Linked DNA regions of Saccharomyces cerevisiae S288C. The protein of the gene in region 1 purifies or fractionates together with the protein of each later gene. This does not show direct contact. Each region holds a gene or a part of one and is shown in the gene's direction. Other genes may lie near its edges.

The links.
Region 2: the proteins of WTM1 (region 1) and CCT6 purify together in Saccharomyces cerevisiae (affinity purification with mass spectrometry, with the first as the bait; 2 studies listed by BioGRID). This does not show direct contact.
Region 3: the proteins of WTM1 (region 1) and RNR2 purify together in Saccharomyces cerevisiae (affinity purification with western blotting; 5 studies listed by BioGRID, with this or other methods). This does not show direct contact.
Region 4: the proteins of WTM1 (region 1) and CCT2 purify together in Saccharomyces cerevisiae (affinity purification with mass spectrometry, with the first as the bait; 2 studies listed by BioGRID). This does not show direct contact.

The regions. Positions count from the first base shown.
Region 1 is NC_001147.6:768,594-772,737, forward strand, and holds WTM1 (transcriptional modulator), read left to right. Parts: upstream 1-2,206; coding exon 2,207-3,520; downstream 3,521-4,144. Other genes in the region: WTM2 (transcriptional modulator), read left to right, coding at 1-1,219; mitogen-activated protein kinase kinase MKK1, read left to right, coding at 4,008-4,144. UniProt on the Saccharomyces cerevisiae protein: Transcriptional modulator with roles in meiotic regulation and silencing.
Region 2 is NC_001136.10:834,333-838,704, forward strand, and holds CCT6 (chaperonin-containing T-complex subunit CCT6), read left to right. Parts: upstream 1-2,088; coding exon 2,089-3,729; downstream 3,730-4,372. Other genes in the region: SND1 (Snd1p), read right to left, coding at 1-1,160; SLY1 (syntaxin-binding protein), read left to right, coding at 4,060-4,372. UniProt on the Saccharomyces cerevisiae protein: Molecular chaperone; assists the folding of proteins upon ATP hydrolysis. Known to play a role, in vitro, in the folding of actin and tubulin. In yeast may play a role in mitotic spindle formation.
Region 3 is NC_001142.9:390,160-394,103, forward strand, and holds RNR2 (ribonucleotide-diphosphate reductase subunit RNR2), read left to right. Parts: upstream 1-2,244; coding exon 2,245-3,444; downstream 3,445-3,944. Other genes in the region: VPS53 (Vps53p), read right to left, coding at 1-694; YJL028W (uncharacterized protein), read left to right, coding at 1,152-1,487; YJL027C (uncharacterized protein), read right to left, coding at 1,674-2,090; RRN7 (Rrn7p), read left to right, coding at 3,808-3,944. UniProt on the Saccharomyces cerevisiae protein: Provides the precursors necessary for DNA synthesis. Catalyzes the biosynthesis of deoxyribonucleotides from the corresponding ribonucleotides. RNR2 provides the diiron-tyrosyl radical center.
Region 4 is NC_001141.2:81,530-85,801, forward strand, and holds CCT2 (chaperonin-containing T-complex subunit CCT2), read left to right. Parts: upstream 1-1,772; coding exon 1,773-3,356; downstream 3,357-4,272. Other genes in the region: TFIIH/NER complex ATPase/helicase subunit SSL2, read right to left, coding at 1-1,512; AXL2 (Axl2p), read left to right, coding at 3,837-4,272. UniProt on the Saccharomyces cerevisiae protein: Molecular chaperone; assists the folding of proteins upon ATP hydrolysis. Known to play a role, in vitro, in the folding of actin and tubulin. In yeast may play a role in mitotic spindle formation.

The DNA.
Region 1 (4,144 bases):
GACTAGTCTTTTATATTCTCAAGGTAGTGATATTTACGAAATAGACACTACTTTACCATTAAAGACATTCTATGACGACGACGACGACGACGACAACGACGACGACGACGAAGAAGGTAACGGCAAGACGAAGTCTGCAGCCACCCCAAATCCAGAGTATGGTGATGCTTTCCAAGATGTTGAGGGGAAACCATTGCGCCCAAAGTGGATTTACCAGGGCGAAACAGTGGCAAAAATGCAATACTTGGAAAGCTCAGACGACAGTACGGCGATCGCGATGTCCAAGAACGGCTCTTTGGCATGGTTCAGAGATGAGATCAAGGTTCCCGTTCATATCGTACAGGAAATGATGGGCCCTGCTACTAGATACTCTAGTATTCACTCTCTAACCAGACCAGGTTCATTAGCAGTGTCAGATTTTGATGTGTCGACAAATATGGATACGGTAGTAAAGTCACAAAGTAACGGCTACGAGGAGGACAGCATCTTGAAAATCATCGACAACTCCGATAGACCGGGAGATATATTACGTACAGTGCACGTTCCAGGGACCAACGTGGCTCACTCAGTTAGATTTTTTAACAACCATTTATTTGCATCTTGTTCAGATGACAACATTTTAAGATTCTGGGACACAAGAACAGCGGACAAACCGCTTTGGACGCTAAGCGAACCGAAAAATGGACGACTAACGTCCTTCGATTCCTCTCAAGTTACTGAAAACCTATTTGTCACTGGGTTCAGCACGGGTGTCATCAAGCTATGGGATGCGCGTGCTGTGCAACTGGCTACTACTGACCTCACACATAGGCAGAACGGCGAGGAACCGATCCAAAACGAAATAGCCAAGTTGTTCCATTCTGGCGGCGATTCCGTTGTCGATATCCTGTTCTCACAAACCTCTGCAACAGAATTTGTTACGGTTGGAGGAACGGGTAATGTCTACCACTGGGACATGGAGTACTCTTTTTCAAGAAACGACGATGACAACGAAGACGAAGTTCGAGTGGCTGCTCCGGAGGAACTTCAGGGTCAATGTTTAAAATTTTTCCACACAGGTGGCACAAGAAGATCGAGCAACCAATTCGGGAAGAGGAACACTGTGGCGCTACACCCCGTAATCAATGATTTTGTTGGCACTGTTGATTCAGATAGTCTTGTTACTGCCTACAAACCATTTCTGGCCAGTGACTTCATTGGCAGAGGTTACGACGATTAAAAAAAAAAAAGAGTAAGAAATTAACGTTACCACCTATGGGAAAGGCAGTAACTCACAAGCATTCACGTACATAATTCTGTTTTTTTTTTTTTTATTCATTTCTAGCACGCTATCGGGGTTATTTTTTTTTTTGTAATATATAGTGATGGTATAATGTTGTATAGATACTGGTATCGCTCCTAATAAAGACTCTTTCAGATTTCTGAAGCCAACGAAGTAAGGCCTCAAGAAAAGAGGGTTACCAGTAATTAACCAAGCAATTTCTTTTTTTTCTTTCCAGCAAAGAAATAAGACAAAAACCGGCTATATGGAGAAGAGGGAGGATCTAATGGTGACATAGTCCATTTCAAGATTCCCTCTTTCGTTTCTCGGATGAAGCTCGATGTTTACAATTCAGAATCTTAAAAGGCTGTCGCTAAGAAAGACCCAGAGGCACATGCAAGATAGTTGTGCCTGTACCACGTGAGAAGGCGGTATTCAATATGCGGTGCTGTGCTGGCTTCCCTTTTTGGAACGCGCCGGGGTATAACAAAGAAAGGCTAAGTCATACAATAGGCAAAAGACCTTTGTCTTTCCTTTTTTTCCTCTTTCCTAACATACGGTGGTTTATGTACTATCCCTTATGTAATTGCTTAGCTATACACAGTGAGCACACATAGTGGCGCTCACTACTCCCTTTTAATTTCAACTCGTAGATAGTTGGGCTATTTTCCTTCGAATCCTCGTTTATCATCTCATATTTAAGAGTACCATTTCGGGGCTTTTTTTTACCTTTTCCTTTTCCATGCAGTCTGTCCCCTTAATGTTCTATGTTTTTTTTTTTTTTTTTTCAGTTCTGTAGCTTCCAGTATAAAGGGAGGGAAAAAAGAAGATCCGAAAAGTTTATATTCGCCTGAATTGTAGATATTAGATAAGAAAATTAATTATTAATCAACCAATCTTGAAAGATACAAATAAATTGTAACACACTATACATTACAACCAAAAATGCCAAAAAAGGTTTGGAAATCATCTACGCCTTCCACTTATGAACATATCTCCAGCTTAAGACCAAAATTTGTGTCTCGTGTGGACAATGTTCTGCACCAAAGGAAGTCCTTGACGTTCAGCAACGTTGTTGTTCCAGATAAAAAAAATAACACTCTAACCTCAAGTGTTATATACTCTCAAGGTAGTGATATCTACGAAATTGACTTCGCTGTACCACTACAAGAAGCCGCTTCAGAACCGGTGAAAGACTATGGTGACGCCTTTGAAGGTATTGAAAACACCTCGTTGAGCCCAAAATTCGTGTACCAGGGTGAAACTGTCTCCAAAATGGCCTACTTAGATAAGACTGGAGAAACTACATTATTGTCGATGTCTAAGAACGGGTCGTTGGCTTGGTTCAAAGAGGGTATAAAGGTCCCTATTCACATTGTACAGGAATTGATGGGTCCAGCAACCAGCTATGCCAGCATCCATTCTTTAACCAGACCTGGTGATCTACCTGAAAAGGATTTCTCATTAGCCATCTCTGACTTCGGCATTTCCAATGATACCGAAACCATTGTGAAGTCTCAGAGTAATGGTGATGAAGAAGACAGTATTTTGAAAATCATTGACAATGCCGGTAAGCCTGGTGAGATTCTACGTACTGTTCATGTGCCTGGTACCACTGTGACTCACACCGTAAGATTTTTCGACAATCATATCTTTGCGTCTTGTTCAGATGACAATATTCTGAGGTTCTGGGACACTAGAACTTCCGACAAGCCTATATGGGTGTTGGGAGAACCAAAGAACGGAAAATTGACCTCGTTTGATTGCTCTCAGGTTTCCAACAACTTGTTTGTTACCGGTTTCAGTACGGGTATTATCAAGTTATGGGATGCCAGAGCGGCTGAAGCTGCCACCACTGATTTGACTTATAGACAAAACGGTGAAGATCCAATTCAGAATGAAATCGCTAACTTCTATCATGCCGGCGGTGATTCTGTTGTCGACGTCCAATTTTCTGCCACTTCAAGCTCTGAATTCTTTACTGTGGGCGGCACTGGTAATATTTACCACTGGAACACTGACTATTCCTTGTCAAAGTACAATCCTGACGATACCATTGCTCCTCCTCAAGATGCCACTGAAGAATCACAAACAAAATCTCTGAGATTCTTGCACAAGGGTGGAAGCAGAAGATCTCCAAAACAGATTGGAAGAAGAAACACCGCCGCTTGGCATCCAGTTATTGAAAACTTGGTTGGTACTGTCGATGACGATAGTTTAGTCAGCATCTACAAGCCCTATACCGAGGAAAGCGAATAGTCGCCATGCTAAACGCGCGGAACAAGGCCATATTTATATATTTAATGCTTTTAACTATTATTAGTTTTTCTCACCCAGGGCTGGTTTCTTTACCCTGTGTGATGAAAGTGCGCGCCTAAAGTTATGTATGAGCTACTGTTAGTATATTTATTATTCAATATTTAATTAAACAATACTTACTACTGATGAAAGATACCGTACACCTGCTGGCGAATAAGTCACTATACACGAGCAATTATATTTCTCAGGTCATTGCGACAATTGAAAAATCGGATCGACTGATTATCATTAAGGCGTGTGACGGCTCAGAATAAGGAAGTTCTATTTTAAAGGGCAGCAAAAATTTGGCACAATTTAAAAAGAAAGTTGGTCTCTGGTAGGGTTGGATCCGGTTTTTCATAACTTGCGTTTCATTTATGGTTGCGTATTTCTCGCAGTGTACATAGACCAAATTAACTCTATCCTTCCATTGCACAATTTGCCCAGTATGGCTTCACTGTTCAGACCCCCAGAATCTGCGAAATGCAACCCAAACTCTCCTAGACTTAAACTGCCCCTCTTACGAAATAATCAGGTAGATGAAAATAATATATACTTGACGTCGAATGGGAGTTCCACCACAGC
Region 2 (4,372 bases), on another chromosome or scaffold:
TGTGGATGCAGATGCGATTGTAAATGCAGTGCAGTTCCCGAAGGCTGCTTGCGTAGGTTGGATTCCTGACCAATAAGATTGTTGATTGACGTTGATGGGATAGTTGTGATGGATTCGTTCGTTTTGAACATATGTGCCCTGTTGGATTTTCTGTTGATAGACAACGACCTAATTCTGACGGACTTGTCTTTATTGGAGGTTAAAACCGAGTTTTGAAAATTCAACAACGACGAAGAGTTTCTTTTCAAACTTGTGTTGCTCTGGTCGTCGCCCTTATCTTCGTTAACAGCATCTGAATATTCATGTAGCGCTTTTATTGATTCCTGGGAGATAAGGCTGGTGAGAGGGTGGTCTGACAACAAAGTCAGCAGTGCTTTTACCCCCGTGCTATTCGTGACAATAACTATGGAATCCAAGACAGTCTGGTCTTGCATGCTACCATTGCTCTGGTTTGAGCCGGTGAATTTCTCGTTCAACTTGGTGTAGTACTCTTTGAACGGGAGTGACTTGGAGTTCTGGATTGTCTTAGTGAAAGAACCAATATTCTGCCAATTAATGATTTTTAAATTAAGCAGTTCTGCGTTCAGGAAAGTAGAAAACCACTTGAGAGAGGTGGGAGAAACGTTGATCTGGAAACATAGGTTTAGTTTCTTTTGAACATACAAGTCTTTGAAAGAATTAAACAATTTTTCAACCAAAAATCTTATGGTCTCCACGTAACGTAAAGACCCCGAAGACGACACCAGTACATTCAGATCAAACTTGTTTTCCGGTGTGCTGCGAGAGCTGATCAGACTTTTCAACTCCTCCCAAAACTTATCGTTATCTTCCGCAGTAGATGTGTTGGAAAAACTTTGCGCGATCGAATTTCTAAGCCGATGCAGCTTAAACCGTTTATTCAGTCTGGAAAGCTTGTTATGAGTCATCTCATCGTTGTAGTAGTCGATCGTAGGGATATCTATGTAAAGTAGGATGTTAAGCTTCTTTAGCGAAGGGTACCGGTCCGCCAAAGACGCTTGTACCACTGTCTGCTGCATGTTGGAGTAAGTGATCAGAAACAGCGAGTCCTGTGACTTCACACTAACTTTTGGTGAAGTGGACTGGGCAAAGCGACGCTCATTAATGCTCGCGGCTGCTGCGTCCGTACCGACAGTGTCCATCGTAGTGTAGGCTTCCCAAAATTTAGGATGTGATTAGTAATAGTGGTTGATTGCGAGCTCCGGGATGCGAGGGAGAGCGTGTATGTGTACTTCAAGTTCGCCAACTTCTCTCTTAAATAGAAAAAGAAAAGAAGAAAAAGGAAACGAAAAAAAAAAAAAGTAGGGAAAAGCTGAGTGATGAAGATCCGGGCTGCCAAGATTGGGTTTGAAACGTGTAGTCAGCTACAAACCAAAAATTAAAAGAACAATAGCAAAGAACCTTAGTAGGAAAACAATAAAATAATAGACACGACACCCGTAGAAAGATAGAACGGGACGAGGGGCCGGTTCAACAACTATCATACTTTCTTGTTCAACAACGCGATTAACCCAAATAATAAAAAAGCTACGAGACAAGAACAGACGAGGCAATACGAGCAACGAGCGCAACGAGAACGGTAAGCATGGCAACGGCGCGCACACCCACGCCCCGCAACCGCACACCTCAGCTCAAAGTAACCCACTTTAACGTGACTGGACCTGAGCTGTCTGACTCGGTCGTTTGCAAATAGGTTAACGCCGTCGCTTCTCCCTTTCGTGTACCGTATATCTTTCTTTAATTGCATTCCCTTGTTGTGATTATCGTTTCCCATTGCAGTGAGCTTTCATTTTGGGGACCCTGGGAGTAGGCTGTTTTTCGATAGAGTGAGAGGTGTGGGTTCTGCGGCAGAATGGATACGGGCCGTGGATCACTGTTTACGGGAGTTTTGCTTTGGTGGCAAAATTTTCGCTCGGTGATGTGTTAGTAGTTGTTATTCTGGTAAGAAACGAACGAAAGACGGAAAGGATTATGTATAACAGTGTATGTGTGCAGTGTGTGGAAAAGGTAAAGGTTAAGGGTGTGGAAGCAGTGAGAAGCAGAAGATTATAATATAAGTAGAGTAGAAGCATGTCATTGCAATTGTTGAATCCGAAGGCTGAATCGTTGAGAAGGGATGCGGCTTTGAAGGTTAACGTCACATCTGCTGAGGGCTTACAATCCGTCCTAGAGACCAACTTGGGCCCTAAGGGCACGCTAAAGATGCTTGTGGATGGTGCTGGTAACATCAAGCTGACCAAGGACGGTAAAGTGTTGCTGACCGAGATGCAGATCCAGTCGCCTACAGCGGTACTGATTGCTAGGGCAGCTGCCGCGCAGGATGAAATCACGGGCGATGGGACCACGACGGTTGTGTGTCTTGTGGGTGAATTGCTTAGACAAGCGCACCGTTTCATTCAAGAGGGCGTGCATCCGCGGATCATCACTGATGGGTTTGAGATTGCGCGGAAGGAGTCCATGAAATTTTTGGACGAATTCAAGATCAGTAAGACGAACCTTTCCAATGATAGAGAGTTCCTTCTGCAAGTGGCCCGGTCGTCGCTGCTAACCAAGGTGGACGCTGACTTGACGGAGGTCTTGACGCCCATTGTAACGGATGCGGTGCTAAGCGTGTACGACGCGCAGGCTGACAATTTGGATTTACACATGGTTGAGATCATGCAGATGCAGCACTTGTCTCCTAAAGATACCACTTTTATTAAGGGTTTGGTATTGGACCACGGTGGTAGGCATCCTGACATGCCCACCCGTGTGAAGAACGCGTATGTTTTGATTTTGAACGTATCTTTGGAATACGAGAAGACTGAAGTTAACTCTGGGTTCTTTTACAGTTCTGCGGACCAAAGGGACAAGTTGGCCGCTAGTGAGAGGAAGTTTGTGGATGCCAAGTTGAAGAAGATCATCGACTTGAAAAACGAAGTTTGTGGCATGGATCCAGACAAGGGTTTTGTTATCATTAACCAAAAAGGCATTGACCCCATGTCTTTAGACGTGTTTGCCAAACACAACATCTTGGCTTTGAGAAGGGCCAAGAGACGTAACATGGAAAGATTGCAATTGGTCACTGGCGGTGAAGCTCAGAACTCTGTGGAAGACTTGTCGCCTCAGATTCTTGGGTTTTCTGGCTTGGTCTACCAAGAAACCATAGGCGAGGAAAAATTCACATACGTTACAGAGAACACTGACCCCAAGTCTTGCACCATCTTAATCAAGGGCTCCACTCATTATGCCCTCGCTCAAACAAAGGATGCGGTGAGAGATGGTCTCAGAGCTGTGGCAAACGTTCTCAAGGACAAAAACATCATTCCAGGCGCTGGTGCGTTCTACATCGCCCTTTCGAGATACCTAAGATCTGCCAACATGAACAAGTTGGGTGCCAAGGGTAAAACAAAGACAGGTATTGAGGCGTTCGCAGAAGCATTGCTGGTAATTCCAAAGACTTTGGTGAAGAACTCAGGATTCGACCCATTGGACGTGCTCGCAATGGTGGAGGACGAGTTGGATGACGCTCAGGATTCTGACGAAACGAGATATGTTGGTGTGGACTTGAACATAGGTGATTCTTGCGACCCTACCATCGAGGGTATTTGGGATTCCTACCGCGTACTAAGAAATGCTATTACCGGTGCTACAGGTATTGCCAGCAACTTGTTATTATGCGATGAATTGTTAAGGGCAGGTAGATCCACTTTGAAAGAAACACCACAGTAATAAAAAATAATAATAATAATAATAATAACAAGAACACGAATACTAGTAGTAATAGTAGTCAGATACAAAAATTCTATGTAACATATTTTTTCCAGTCACTATCATCATCATCATATTTTGTATATATACATTTATTATATAAAATATCATACCAATTTTTGCCAAAGAACACCGTTTCCCTCTTCGCGTTGACCACAGTAATTGCAGAAACGACAAAAAAAAAACAAAAAAAAGAAGCACCATTCTAACTCAGCCTTTAATAACCTGACATGATAACTTATAATAGTCATTGCCAGTTGCTAAGTATCTTTGACCAAAAATCACAACATCATGGCTGTGGAGGAAATTGCGTCCCGCAAGGACATTAGTTTAAGAGATATGCAAATCTCTGCCATATTAAAAATGCTGTTTTTAAATAAGGATTTGAACAACAACGACAACATCACCACCATCACAGACGATATTTTTAACCAGCAGGAGATCATCTGGAAGGTGTTGATACTGGACATCAAGAGCACTGCTACCATATCTTCTGTTCTCAGAGTCAATGACCTGCTGAAAGCTGGTATCACCGTTCATTCCTTGATTAAACAAGACAGATCTCCCTTGCCAGATGTCCCTGCCATATATTTCGTCTCCCCCA
Region 3 (3,944 bases), on another chromosome or scaffold:
TTTCGAAGAGAAGTTTGTCCAAACACCAATCTATCATCTGGGCTCTCGTACTTGTATCGCAGTCGAGTAGCTCGCAGGCACCTTCGCGCAATTCCATAGTGAGTGCTGTATCATGCTCTGAGATATTGCCGCCGGAAAAGAGCGCATTGTAGTTTTGTTTAATTTTGGACAAAGTGTCTCCTTTCAGTCTTGAAATGGAGCTCAACAAATAGTTTATCTCGTCCAATGATTTGTAAGAGATGAATGTGTTTTCAGCAAGCGAACACATTATCTTATAAGGGGACACCATTTTTTTGAATGAGCCCTGTGAGAGTAATTCATTGCATTGTATGTAACTGTCTGTCAATATCTTTAAATTTTGGAAAAGAGTCAAAGAGTGGGTGAGGTTTTTCTTGGCAATGTCCAGGTACGAGATACCTTCTGTCAGATTCGATATCGTCAACTCGGTGGAGGCTGAGACATCTTGAGTTTCTTTGAAATCTTGGAAAACTTTCCTCAGAGAAGCCTCTATTTCAGCGGAATTTTTAGGGTGTTCCTTCAATTCATTCTCTTCTTTGAGAATATCCTCTTGCAATTGCTTTTTGTAGCTTCTGGTAATACTGATCAGTTCATCTATGTTGTTCAGGGATTCTTTTGAAAAAAGTATATTGGTAATATCTTCCAGCGGGTCATAATCTACCGTACCTTCCAGCATTGTCCTTCTGAGAAAACAAAAATGGAAGATGTTGTGAAAATGCAGTAAGTGACAATAAGCTAGCGACTTTTCAATGATCGCAGATTAAGTATATATACACTTTAGGTCTCCTTCTCTTCTTTACTAGCTACGAAAAAACAAAGAAAAAAAAAACAAAATAGAGGGAAAAAAGATATACGTATAAAAATATGCTCCAGGGGAGGTTCGAACTCTCGACCTTCAGATTATGAGACTGACGCTCTTCCTACTGAGCTACTGAAGCACTATTTCTTGTTCCAACCGAGGAATAATACTAGACCTGTAGAAAAGTACCGCTTATCTAATATCCAACTTTTTCTTCTGTTCCCTTTAGTGAATTCAAGATGAAGGAACATAACAGAACGGAAAACAAAAAAAAAGGGAAGAAAAAAGATATCACCACCAATTGGCACGCTCGCAACGGTTTCGGGCCAGATTCATGGCCCTGTGGGGTAGAAGTGCCTACAGACAAAAAACCGTTACGTCCCGCCTCACCAAGCATCGACACACAAGCCCTCTCAACCTCCTTAATTTCTTTATCTTTTTTTCCCTTCACCTCTGTGCTCTTTTTTTAGCCACAGCTGTGCATTACGCTTGCTTTGCTTGTTTTGTTCTCTTTCGCCATGCCATATTACTACTTTTCTACTTACTGGCACGAGGCCGCGCAAGCCAGATCCAAGCACGCCAGAAAGTGCGGTGTACTGGTGCAACCTTTTATCGATTTCTCATCATATCGCTATCGCAACGGGCATGGGCGACGAAAAAGCCAATCTAAAGCGTTGTCTTCCTCGTTCCTCGCGCACGCGATTTTGCGTTCTGCATAGGAAGCCGAAGTCGAACAAGAAGCAGGCAAAGTTTAGAGCACTGCCCCTCCGCACTCAAAAAAGAAAAAACTAGGAGGAAAATAAAATTCTCAACCACACAAACACATAAACACATACAAATACAAATACAAGCTTATTTACTTGACATCGCGCGATCTTCCACTATTCAGCGCCGTCCGCCCTCTCTCGTGTTTTTTGTTTACGCGACAACTATGCGAAATCCGGAGCAACGGGCAACCGTTTGGGGAAAGACCACACCCACGCGCGATCGCCATGGCAACGAGGTCGCACACGCCCCACACCCAGACCTCCCTGCGAGCGGGCATGGGTACAATGTCCCCGTTGCCACAGAGACCACTTCGTAGCACAGCGCAGAGCGTAGCGTGTTGTTGCTGCTGACAAAAGAAAATTTTTCTTAGCAAAGCAAAGGAGGGGAAGCACGGGCAGATAGCACCGTACCATACCCTTGGAAACTCGAAATGAACGAAGCAGGAAATGAGAGAATGAGAGTTTTGTAGGTATATATAGCGGTAGTGTTTGCGCGTTACCATCATCTTCTGGATCTATCTATTGTTCTTTTCCTCATCACTTTCCCCTTTTTCGCTCTTCTTCTTGTCTTTTATTTCTTTCTTTTTTTTAATTGTTCCCTCGATTGGCTATCTACCAAAGAATCCAAACTTAATACACGTATTTATTTGTCCAATTACCATGCCTAAAGAGACCCCTTCCAAAGCTGCTGCCGATGCATTGTCCGACTTGGAAATCAAAGATTCCAAGTCCAACCTTAACAAGGAATTGGAGACATTGAGAGAGGAAAACAGAGTAAAGTCAGACATGCTTAAGGAGAAATTGAGCAAGGACGCTGAAAATCACAAGGCTTACTTGAAATCTCATCAAGTTCACCGTCACAAACTTAAGGAAATGGAAAAGGAGGAACCTTTGTTGAATGAAGACAAGGAGAGAACTGTTCTTTTCCCTATCAAGTACCATGAAATCTGGCAAGCCTACAAGCGTGCCGAAGCTTCTTTCTGGACCGCTGAAGAAATTGATTTGTCTAAGGATATCCATGACTGGAACAACAGAATGAACGAAAACGAGAGATTTTTCATTTCCAGAGTTCTTGCCTTTTTCGCCGCTTCTGACGGTATTGTTAATGAAAACTTGGTTGAAAACTTCTCCACCGAAGTCCAAATTCCAGAGGCAAAGAGTTTCTACGGTTTCCAAATCATGATTGAAAATATTCACTCTGAAACTTACTCCTTGTTGATCGATACTTACATCAAGGACCCTAAAGAAAGTGAATTCTTGTTCAATGCCATTCACACCATCCCAGAAATCGGTGAGAAGGCCGAATGGGCTTTAAGATGGATTCAAGACGCTGACGCCTTGTTTGGTGAAAGACTAGTTGCCTTTGCCTCCATTGAAGGTGTCTTTTTCTCCGGTTCCTTTGCCTCCATTTTCTGGTTGAAAAAGAGAGGTATGATGCCCGGTTTAACCTTTTCCAACGAATTGATCTGTAGAGACGAAGGTTTGCACACCGACTTTGCATGCTTGTTGTTCGCCCATTTGAAGAACAAACCAGACCCAGCCATTGTTGAAAAAATTGTCACCGAGGCTGTGGAAATTGAACAAAGATACTTCTTGGACGCCTTACCAGTTGCTTTGCTAGGTATGAACGCTGACTTAATGAACCAATACGTTGAGTTCGTCGCCGACAGACTGTTGGTTGCTTTCGGTAACAAGAAATACTACAAGGTCGAAAACCCCTTCGATTTCATGGAAAACATCTCCTTGGCCGGTAAGACCAACTTCTTCGAAAAGAGAGTTTCTGACTACCAAAAGGCTGGTGTTATGTCCAAGTCGACTAAGCAAGAAGCCGGTGCTTTCACCTTCAACGAAGACTTTTAAGAGTATCTCTCTATATATTTCTTTTTACGCAGTCTCTTCAATCTCTTTATGTGGGCTTTCGCACCTCTTATTTATATATATATATATACACTGAATCATATAAACTTTTTTTTATATTGAATCTAATATATTATCAAACGGAAACTTCGGCTGAATTTCATACGTATATTGATTAAAGTGGAAAGGGCATCGGAAAAGTAAGAAAAGCTTAAAAAAATTGAAAAAAAAAAAAAAAAAAATAAAAAATAAAAAATAAAAAAACCTATACAATACATACATATGTATATGAATATAAACCTGGAACGATGTGTCTTTAAAAATAGTTGAACGAACTACTCGGACATACCCCTACATCACTTAAGGATGTCTACTTTCATAAGAGGTCCCATCTGCGGTACAGACAACTGCCCCTCACGGCTTTGGCGTATCATTGATGGGAGAAGAACCTGCCAATATGGTCACGTTATGGAAGGTGACGTGGAATTTAACGACGATGAAGA
Region 4 (4,272 bases), on another chromosome or scaffold:
GGTGGAGACCACCCTACGGAACATTGCGGCGGGCACCACATGAACTTCGTCAAGAATAATGAACCCCCATTCCCTACCGGTCAAGAAATCCATAACTTTTTGTGAATCATGAGACCTGTTTCTTGTGTTTGCCACCATTGAATAAGTGGAAACAACCAAACCGGATTCTGTCTGGAACATTTCCTTATTATCAGAGGTGAAAACAGCACAATTTTCAGGTTGTAAGGTACACCATTGTAAAAATTGCTGCCTCCATTGCATGACGGAGACTGATGAAGTACATAAAACAATTACGGATTTTTTTATAGTACATGCTGCGGTAATACCGACCAAAGTTTTACCTGCGCCACATGGCAAAACAATAATCCCTGAACGAGCACGCCCATTACCAAACATTTTACTCAGCGATTTTTCTTGATAGGGTCTGATTTGAGTGGAAGGTTTCAAATCAATATCTAAATCCGGGTTTCTATGGTCGTTTCTAAAGTCGTATTCTTCCAACACGGGATAATCGATTTCTTGACATCTTTTCTTTACGACTTCAACAGACTCATTGGCAATTTCAAAGGAGTGAACGGCATCAATATCATCATCTTCTTCTTCCCGCTCATTATCACCACCTATAACTGCACTAAACACGGCTTCCACATCGTTCGGATTAACATTAGTAGCGGGTTTTCCAGCGGTTTGCTGAAGTTGTTGCTGTAGTACATCCTCTGGTGGCTGTACTTGATGATCGCTATCTATTCTTAGGGGCCCGATGACGGAATCATTCAGCAACATTTGCAGAATATCTGCTTGTGTAGTCTCCACGAAATATCTATTATGCTTAATAACTAGTTTCACTTTACCGTATGAAATGGTAGCCCCTTTAATGAAGTTGATTATCGATTCAGCAACGGGTACTTTGGATAATCTATCCAGAACTGAAATGATATCATCCGTCTCCAACCCTACAGAAACAGCTGCATACAAAGAGTATGCTGTGATCTTGTATTCATGAATATGGGAGGGTCTACTTATAGGCTCTGCAATGGTGACCAGAAAGTCCTGAGCCTGTTCTGCTAATGGAGAGAAACTCTCCAGAATGATCCTACCGTCACTTGGCGAGATCCAAAGGGGCCTGGAAGCATGGTCTGGTCTTAACCGCAAATAACTAAAGTCATGGCTTCTGAACATTCCAGAGACGGAATCTGGAACGAAATCTGCTGGTATATCGCTATTAGTGTCCTGCAAAAGCGCTTTATCCTTAGCGTCCATTTGATTCATAGAGGAATCCGCCGCTGTATGCCTGCTACTCTTGGTCTTTTTCCGAGGCTTCTTCAACCCTGTTACCATGGCGCCGGTATCCCTTTCTCCACGTCCTTCTGACGTTTCCCTGTTATCATCATAGTTCTCATCGATCTCTGCATCAGTAGCTGGTGAATCCTCATCTGATGAGAAAAAGGACTCACCCATATCTGGAAAGATTTTCCCCTTGCTCTTAGGTTGGTAGCCTTCAACGTCCGTCATGATTTATCTTCCACTGATTCCAACGTCAGTAGATGCTACTTTTACTAAATAATGTAGATATCATTACTATTATCTATCCTTACTAAGGACCTTTTTCCTTATACTTCTTAGAAGAAAAACCTCGTTTCTAACGATCTGAAATTTTTTTCTCTTCGCGGTGGCGAGTTTAAAAGACAAGAGCAGAGCAATAAAAAAGAGGATGAAAGGTGGCCATTAAATAGGCAAGAAGAGTCAGTCGTACAAAGCTCAAAAGATTCAGGATGAGTGTACAGATATTTGGAGACCAGGTTACAGAAGAAAGAGCGGAAAACGCCCGTTTGTCGGCGTTTGTCGGTGCCATTGCCGTGGGTGATTTGGTGAAAAGCACATTAGGCCCAAAAGGGATGGATAAATTATTGCAAAGTGCGTCCAGTAACACTTGCATGGTAACAAACGATGGTGCTACGATTCTGAAGTCAATTCCGCTGGATAATCCCGCAGCCAAAGTGTTGGTGAACATCAGTAAGGTGCAGGATGACGAAGTTGGAGATGGTACCACTAGTGTTACTGTTTTGAGCGCAGAGTTGCTTAGAGAAGCAGAGAAGTTGATTGATCAATCCAAAATCCACCCTCAAACTATTATTGAAGGTTACCGACTAGCTTCAGCAGCCGCATTGGATGCGTTAACGAAAGCGGCTGTTGACAACTCTCATGATAAGACCATGTTCCGTGAAGATCTGATCCATATTGCCAAGACTACTTTATCTTCCAAAATTTTGTCTCAGGATAAGGATCACTTCGCAGAATTAGCAACTAATGCTATTTTGAGATTGAAGGGCTCCACTAACTTAGAACATATTCAGATCATTAAGATTCTTGGTGGAAAGCTATCAGATTCGTTCCTTGACGAAGGTTTCATTCTTGCCAAAAAATTTGGTAACAACCAACCCAAGAGAATTGAAAATGCTAAGATTCTAATCGCCAATACAACTTTGGATACAGACAAGGTCAAAATATTCGGCACCAAATTCAAAGTCGATTCTACTGCTAAATTGGCACAACTAGAAAAGGCAGAACGTGAAAAGATGAAGAATAAAATTGCCAAGATTTCCAAGTTTGGTATCAACACTTTCATCAATAGACAACTAATTTATGACTATCCAGAGCAATTATTTACAGATTTGGGCATAAACTCAATTGAGCATGCTGATTTTGAAGGTGTAGAAAGGCTCGCCCTGGTTACAGGCGGTGAGGTGGTGTCTACATTTGACGAGCCAAGTAAATGCAAACTGGGAGAATGTGACGTGATCGAGGAAATTATGCTTGGTGAACAGCCATTCTTGAAGTTTAGTGGTTGCAAAGCTGGTGAAGCTTGTACCATCGTCCTAAGAGGTGCTACCGACCAAACGCTTGATGAAGCTGAGAGATCCCTGCATGACGCATTGTCCGTGTTGTCACAGACCACAAAGGAAACAAGAACTGTTCTTGGCGGCGGTTGCGCCGAGATGGTCATGTCAAAAGCTGTGGACACCGAAGCTCAAAACATCGACGGAAAGAAGTCCCTTGCCGTGGAGGCTTTTGCCCGTGCTCTGAGACAACTGCCAACCATTTTGGCAGATAATGCTGGTTTTGACAGCAGCGAACTTGTGTCCAAACTAAGATCCTCCATATACAACGGTATCTCCACCTCAGGTTTAGATCTCAACAACGGAACCATTGCCGACATGAGACAGTTAGGTATCGTCGAGAGTTACAAGCTAAAACGAGCAGTAGTCAGCTCTGCATCTGAAGCCGCTGAAGTTCTACTAAGGGTGGATAACATCATCCGTGCAAGACCAAGAACCGCCAATAGACAACATATGTAACATATTTAGGATATACCTCGAAAATAATAAACCGCCACACTGTCATTATTATAATTAGAAACAGAACGCAAAAATTATCCACTATATAATTCAAAGACGCGAAAAAAAAAGAACAACGCGTCATAGAACTTTTGGCAATTCGCGTCACAAATAAATTTTGGCAACTTATGTTTCCTCTTCGAGCAGTACTCGAGCCCTGTCTCAAGAATGTAATAATACCCATCGTAGGTATGGTTAAAGATAGCATCTCCACAACCTCAAAGCTCCTTGCCGAGAGTCGCCCTCCTTTGTCGAGTAATTTTCACTTTTCATATGAGAACTTATTTTCTTATTCTTTACTCTCACATCCTGTAGTGATTGACACTGCAACAGCCACCATCACTAGAAGAACAGAACAATTACTTAATAGAAAAATTATATCTTCCTCGAAACGATTTCCTGCTTCCAACATCTACGTATATCAAGAAGCATTCACTTACCATGACACAGCTTCAGATTTCATTATTGCTGACAGCTACTATATCACTACTCCATCTAGTAGTGGCCACGCCCTATGAGGCATATCCTATCGGAAAACAATACCCCCCAGTGGCAAGAGTCAATGAATCGTTTACATTTCAAATTTCCAATGATACCTATAAATCGTCTGTAGACAAGACAGCTCAAATAACATACAATTGCTTCGACTTACCGAGCTGGCTTTCGTTTGACTCTAGTTCTAGAACGTTCTCAGGTGAACCTTCTTCTGACTTACTATCTGATGCGAACACCACGTTGTATTTCAATGTAATACTCGAGGGTACGGACTCTGCCGACAGCACGTCTTTGAACAATACATACCAATTTGTTGTTACAAACCGTCCATCCATCTCGCTATCGTCAGATTTCAATCTATTGGCGTTGTTAAAAAACTATG